2 linked regions of the Ovis aries genome follow. The protein of the gene in region 1 purifies or fractionates together with the protein of each later gene. This does not show direct contact. Links are inferred from orthologs where the notes say so. Each region holds a gene or a part of one and is shown on either strand. Other genes may lie near its edges.

Region 1 (3,653 bases):
TACCTCAGAAGTTCAGTCCCTGGTCCAGGAGCTAAGATCCCAGAAGCCCCAGGGTGTGGAAAAATATAAAAAAGGAGAACACAAGAGAATAGTCTCCTTTCTTTAATGTCACTTTATCAATGATCACTTAGAGAAGTTAGCAGTTATACTTATGTGACTCTGAAATTAATCTCTAAATGGAGAATGTATTTCATAGTAAAACTGCATTACTTGAATAATTAAAAAGTGAAAAAGCCAAATTCATAAAATCTGGGGAAGACATCTGACTTTCAGATCCTCCTTAAAATGAAAAACTTTGAGGTTAGTTAGTAGTATTTACCTATGCAAATTTCCTGGATATAAATACAAAAGGAAATAGTAAACAACCACTAAATTCAATGGCAGAGGGAAAAAAATCAAGACAACGGGATGGTAGATCTTCACTTACTTAAGTGTCTTCATAATCTATTTAGCCTCTGTGCCCTCAGAACTCTTAAAAAAGGTGGAGCAGGTGTTCAGTAAGGTCCCTTCACATAGTAAAATGTTATTTTTCTAAGTAATTTTAGAATAATTTACTATTTTAAACGTTGCAAAAATTAACCTAGTGTTTTATGAGATTTTTTTTTCTGAAACAGGAAGTTACATGATATATAATGAAGAAAATGTCCTTAACTTTACAGTAGATGACATGGTGTTCAGAGAACTAGAAAATGTCAAAAGTTAGCTTTGGAAAGTCACCAAATGCACCCATGCCTGCAAAGATAACTTTAGTACCTAGGCTGATCTGCAGTTTGTGAGGCCTCGGCACATCACCAGATCAGTATCTTGATAAATAACAAGCTTCCTAAAAAGCAAGTTTAAACCCCAAAGCAGTAGGCAAGGTAAGTGGGAAGTGAGTTGGCAACACAACTCACCTACAAGCTCTCCAATCATGAAAAGCAAGTAAAGAACGGCAGCAATGGTCAATCTGGTTTTCACCTTTCTCTGCTTCAACAACTCTCTCTGCTTGCTGCAGTTGTCACAGGGGTCCGCCTTCAAACTCAGCTGACTGTTGGCCAAGGGTAAGTCCTGGTCCAGCAAGGAGTCATCGTCGGCCTGGAGGGCCGTGTGCGCCCCGTTAGCAGGCCTTTCTGGGGCTTCGGAACCATCGTCGGCCACCACAACTCGAAGTTTGTTAAACCGAGAAAGCCCCTCGTCGACCACCTCGTCCGAGAAGTCAAAGGCGCTGGTGTCATTTAAGAACAGCGGCGCATCATCCTTCCGCAGCATTGATTTGAGGCGCTTCCACACGCCGGATCCGGCCATAGCACTGGCTGAGCGGCCGCGGCGCCGAGCGGCTGGGTGCAGGCGGGCGGCCGGCGACTCCTACTTCACTCGAAAGCCAGTTCCCAGTGGCACTGCGGCGCGTCCCTCCTCATTCTGTGGGAAACGAAGCACATTATAAATTAAAGGCAGCCCGACAGAGCCCACAAGTTCCGAAGCCCGGGGCGGCGGGGGGCGCCGGAGCTCCGAAAGGGGGCAGCGCTCTACCTGGGGTGCCGCTGCCGGGCCGCCGCTCATCTCCCCGCCCCGGCCGGCTCCGCGGGGCCGGCTCGCGCATCTCGGCCCGGGGCCGCGAAGGAGCGGGGCGGTCCTCGAGCCTGCAGCGCCCGCAGCTCCAGGCCGGGTTCCCGAGTCTGACAGGTTCGGGGCCGGGCGCCCGCGGCCGCCGCCTCTCCCCGCCCTGCGCGAAGCCGCGCGCGTGCGCTGGAGCGGCCGCGGACGAGCCGCGCCAGGGAGGGGTGGGCGCGAGGACACGCAGGCCTGGCGCGCCGGGCAGAGGCTCACACGAGGGGCGGGGCAGGGCAGGGGCGCGCGCCGCGTCGCCCGCCCCTCACCCGGCTCTCCACTTCTCGAGGCCGCGAGGTCGGAGAGAGCTGGAATCCTCGGGCTAAGTGGGTAGATTTCTACGGTCCCGCCCACCCGAGGTTGGGCGTTGCTGCAGGCAGTTCGCTCCGCTGAAGGACGGCCTAGAGAATCTTTGATTGAGATCTTGGTTTCGGATGCTTGGCGACAGGAAAATGTAACCCTTTCTTGCTAAATTGAGCAGCTTTTCTGCCATTAGAGTTGCTGCCTGTCTGGCAGGTTAGCAAAGTTTGCTGCACAGTCAGATCAGCTTGGAGAGGGCAAGGCTTGTGGTCGTAAACAGTTCAGTGTCCTGCTTTATATTTACTGTTGTTTATCAGCAAATATGTATTATCTGTGTGTTCCCTATCAGGTTCCTTTTGCCGCCAAGGTATTTACAGTACGGACTAAACCCAAGCACAGGAACTATATATAGTGCGGTGAGTCCCCTACATACCAACCTTCAAGTTGTGACCGGTCAAAGATGTGAACTTTTAAAGATGCGAACATGCTTTCCATGCTTTCCCGCCGTCTAATCACATAGGTTAGTTCACGCGTCTGGCATACATTATCATATATGTGCATGCTCTAGAAGTGGTTGTGCTTCTGTGTACTTTACTGTACAATACTATATATAGTGCTACAGTATCTTTATTTTAAGCTCAAGATGTCCGGAAGCAAGTTTAAAAGCAGCCATGATGTAGCTGGTATATAGTACTACCCAGACATCACTGGATTTTTTTTTTTTTTTCAAGAATGTAGATAGACTTGAATCCAGCAAGGAATCAGAACCTGTGCCATTAATGTCAGGTGTGAGTGAAATTTGCCCTCCATCTCCTGATGCTGACAATCCTTCAGCACTATCAGCTCCCACCTCCTCTCCCTCCAGTCAGTAACTCTTCTTGCCAACTCCTCACTCAGTGCCAACCCCTCACTCAGTGCCAACCCCTGTATGCCAGCTGTTGTACTGTACTACTGTACTTTTAAAGGTACTATGAGATTAAAAATGTTTATTTTTGTGTTTGTTTTTATGCATTATTTGTGTAAAAAGTATTATGAAGTATTATAAACCTATTTCAGTACAGTACTATAGAGCCCATTGTGTTAGTTAGGTACCTAGGCTAACTTTGTTGGAACAAATTGGACTTGCAGACATGCTCCCAGAATGGAATTCGTTTGTAAGTGGCAAACTTACTGTAAAAGAATCTGTACTGGCTGTTGATTCTATTTAACAACATGGTTTAAAAAGAATTAAGTTTTTATTAGTAGCTTCTAATTTAGATCTAATTTTAATGACAAAATGAAATGACAATAAGCCCCACCTTCTGCTTCTCTGGCGATTCTCCAGGTGAGTCTTAGGGGATTTGGAGGCCTTAAAACTACATGCAAAATTTTGTGGGTATATGAATTTTCTTGAGTAAGTCTGTTAGCCTTCATCATATTCTCAAATGAGTTTCAGACTAAAATAAGATTAAAACAACAGCACTGTTAGGAGAACTCACAGATCAAGACCCTAGCTTCTACTTGGACTTGAATTGTAGTGCAAACTCCCATTAATCCAGTGTTTATAAATGTATTTTAACAACAATCTATATGAATTACCACATTTTAAGTTACAGAAAATACAATAAAAAGTCATATAAACATCATTTTCCTCTGAAGATCCAGATGACATTTTAGAATCTTGCATGTCTCAGGTGCAACTCACCTTTGAATGCCCACGATATTCCTATAGAACTACAGTCATGGGAGTCAGATTAGGAAAACTGGATTAGCGATCCCCTAGTTCC
Region 2 (3,653 bases), on another chromosome or scaffold:
CCCAAATCATTCTGGACGGAGTCCCACTTTCAGAAGGAGTGTGGACCATGTGACCTGCCAGGTCCACTTCCACGTGGGCAGGCACCAGCACTCCAGTCACCACCAGGGGCTCATGGCCCAACAGGTTCTCCCTCGAGACAGAGGACTTCTTTGCTGTCTGTCAGCTGAAGGAGAATCAGGCTCCGTAACACAGTCCAGCTTTATATCAGAACAAGGTCTTGGCTATGAACAGAAAGCATCCCTGATTACTTGCGGGGGACTGCCCGTGAAGGGTTAAGTCTTGGGAGCTCCTCAGCATATATGCAGAGCCCTAGGACATGTTCCTAAGCTCCCTGTCCCGCCACCCTCAAGAATTTGTATAGCCCTTAAGACTCCAGGATGTCCAGTTCCTGCAACATGTCCTAGAAGATAGATTATCTTATTATGTATACAATGGTAAGGGTCTGGTGATTCTCTGTACACAACTGGTGATTGTATCCTGAGATTAAAAACAACCTTGTGAATGTCATAAGTCACGTACTTTATCCTATATATACTGCAGTACAATAAAGCAAGGTATCAGCCATTTTGGGCTGATCCTCTCAACCCCATCTTTTGTCTCTCTCTTATTTTTCTTAGCGGGGACGCTCCGTTCTCTCCCTGTGCAGGTGCGACTCTTGCTTGTGCTGGCCGCGGCAATTACTGAAGTACAGAAGAAAGGTGTTAGAAGGATATTGAGTGGTTTGAAAAATCACTCATGGAGAAGGCTGTAGAATCAAACTAGAACGTGGGGAGAAAACCACAGGTGGCTGGGTCATCTCCACAACCCCATCACAGAACCGTCTCATAGGACTTCTTATTGCCATGACTACTGGATGCTCTCCGGGCCCACCATCCGCTAACCCCACTGGTGCTGACCAGCAGAGGCTGTAGCCAGGAGAGGGCTGCCTCTGATGTCCCTAGAGAACCACTGTTGTCTGGCTTTGTGCTGGTGCTTGTGGGGAGGCAGGGGGTTGCCAGTGTTTGGCCCTTCTGGTCTTGCCTCCTACTAAGACTCATATAGCTAAGAATTCCTCCCTTGTTAAAGAGGAAAAAAAGGGTTCAGATGCTGAGCAGCTGAGAAACTAACTTGTTTCCACTTCAGACTTGCAGCTTACATGGGAAAAATGCATTAGGTGCATCCAATTCTTTTGCAACCCTGTGGATAGGGAAGCCTGGCAGGCGGCAGCCGTGTACTATAGCCAGCAGGCTTCTCTGTCCATGGGGTTCTCCAGGCAAGAATACTGGAATGGGTAGCCATTCCATTCTCCAGGGGATCTTCCTGACCCAGGGATCAGACCCCAGTCTCCTGCATTGCAGGCAGATTCTTTACCATCTGAGCCACCAGGGACGCCCACATGAGAGTTGCTTGCCAAAGATGGACGTCTTCTCCAAGACTCATCTCATTTGAGCCACGGAGCATTACCCAAGACGAACTATGTAATTTGTGAGGTCCAGTGAGAAATGAAAATGCAGGGCCCGTTGTTTAGAAATTATTAAGACTGTCATGATGGCGGCAGTGTAAGACTTCTAAGCATGGGACGCTGTGTCACTACTCAGGTGGCTTTTCCGGAACAGGGCCATGGGCTTATAGTTGGGTCCTGGGGCCCTCGCCAGGTCTTGTGAGTGGATTCCAGCAGGTCAGTGTTATTTCACTGTTTCCTGCCCACGATTTGAGGTGTGATTATGATTCCCCCCATTTTACAGATAGGGCAGATGGGGCTGGAGAACAGTGGAGCTGTGTATTCCAAGCTACGTCTTCTGACCCCGAAGCTCCCCTCTGTCTACACCATGTCACATCACGTACCCGGAGCTTACAGAGCAAGAGCTGTGTGATGCTCCCTGGAAGGTACGCTTTTGGGACATCTTCTCCAGAATTGTTAATGTTGTGGGAAAAAGACTCCACCTGCAATGCGTGAGACCTGGGTTCAGTCTCTGGGTTGGGAAGATCCCCTGGAGGAGAGCATGGCAACCTACTTCAGCATTCTTGCCTGGAAAATCCCCATGGACAGAGGAACCTGGCGGGCTACAGTCCATGGGGCTCACAAAGAGTCGGACACGACTGAGCAACTTAGCACACAAGTATGTATGTGTGTGTGTGAGACTGATGCCCTAGGACCTTGAGCAAGTCGTTTACTCAACTTCCCAGGGCTTCAGTTTTCTCATCTATGAAAATCCTTGGCCTTCTGTCATAAGATAGGGTCGATGCCTCTCTGCCCTGCTCACCAGGCAGGCACATCTCATTCTTGGGATCAGCGCACACTCTAGGGCCCACATGCATTCCCTCTCTTCCAGCTCCCCTTCTGCCACTTGCTCTGGCCTTCAGTGTCCCCCTGGGGTTCAACCCCTTGAATGTCCAGCTTGCGCTACCTGCCAGCTTCTACCCATACCACCCCAAGACCCCTTCTGTCTACACGATGTTCCGTATAGGCTTCCTGTGTTCACAGTCCTAATGACCAGGGTATCTTCCTGCTTCCTCTGCCTTCTCCTTTCTCTCCGGTGTTTATGTGTGTGTCCTTTCCCCCTCCTGGTTCCCAGAGAGCCCACCTCGGGCGGTGCCTTCTACAGAGCCGGGTCTATTAACCCCACCTGGCTTATTGATGTCTCTGGACTGTCTGATGTCTCTTGACTGTCTCTTTCTCCTTTTCTGTTTTTTTCCTACCCTTTTGTCAATTCTCTTGACACTATGTGAGATTAAGGCATTTTTAAAAATAAAATTTATTATATTTCTAAAACACAAGATTATTTGATGTATTTTTAATTTAAAAAATCATAGCTCTCAAACAAAATAGAGCTTTCTTTAAAAAGCTATTATTATGAATTTGTTTTTATTGTTATGTAGTCTTTAACTGATTATTTTTTCCCCTTAAAGATTTTTTTTTTTTTTTACTTTAAACCCAGGGAAGGAGAAATTTCCAAAGGTTATTAGTTCATTAGCTGTTAGAAGGAATAATTGATCTGTCAACTCAAAGGATTTATAAGGATTTGGCTCACAGGATTCATGAAAGCAGTGGCATACGTTTAAGTTCTGCCTCAAAAGAAAACATTTCAGAAGGGGCTTCTCTTACTTTCCTGGAGATAAAAATTAGCATCTCTGTAGTGATGAAAGGCCCCCAATTTTTTTTTTAAGAGTCTATCTTAAGGCGCTACAGCTGCGGCATGTGCACCCATACCTGAGATAATTGGATGCATATTTCAACCTAAAGGATGGATTATAAATAAATATTATAAAGTTTTGAGTTTCTTCTACTGTTTTTTTTTTTTTTTAACCCCTACTAAAAGGAATGGAACACAACTAACATTTCTTCAACCCCAAATGGGGTTTTGCTTTTGTTTTTTTTTTTTAAGCAAATGCACCCAAATTGGGTTTGGTTCACAAAGGAGAGCCTGACTGCAGAGCTAACAGACCCATCATTAGCCACCCCTGCCCTCTCAAATGGCCTGTCCATTCCCCTGCTCACAATATGGGCGAAGGCCGTAAACAAGGGATCCCAGAGCGCTCCGGACAAGAAACATACAATGGAGTGGGATAAATTTCGTTAGCATAAATAGCAGTCTCCAAGGGTGACTGGTGTGAATGGATTCCCGCTGTGAGGGTCTCTGTGCCTACGGAGGAGATCTGTGGCTTTAAGAGC

What was found. The genes of interacting proteins can lie anywhere in the genome.
Region 2: the proteins of SLC30A4 (region 1) and STX8 purify together in Homo sapiens (co-immunoprecipitation; 3 studies listed by BioGRID and IntAct, with this or other methods). This does not show direct contact. The link is inferred for Ovis aries from reciprocal best matches to the Homo sapiens genes SLC30A4 and STX8.

The regions. Positions count from the first base shown.
Region 1 is NC_056060.1:63,085,676-63,089,328, reverse strand, and holds part of SLC30A4 (probable proton-coupled zinc antiporter SLC30A4), read right to left. Parts: intron 1,658-3,653; exon of another isoform or gene 1,510-1,657; intron 1,399-1,509; 5' UTR 1,285-1,398; coding exon 894-1,284; intron 1-893. UniProt on the Homo sapiens protein: Probable proton-coupled zinc ion antiporter mediating zinc import from cytoplasm potentially into the endocytic compartment. Controls zinc deposition in milk.
Region 2 is NC_056064.1:28,533,516-28,537,168, reverse strand, and holds part of STX8 (syntaxin-8), read left to right. Parts: intron 1-1,725; coding exon 1,726-1,867; intron 1,868-3,653. UniProt on the Homo sapiens protein: Vesicle trafficking protein that functions in the early secretory pathway, possibly by mediating retrograde transport from cis-Golgi membranes to the ER.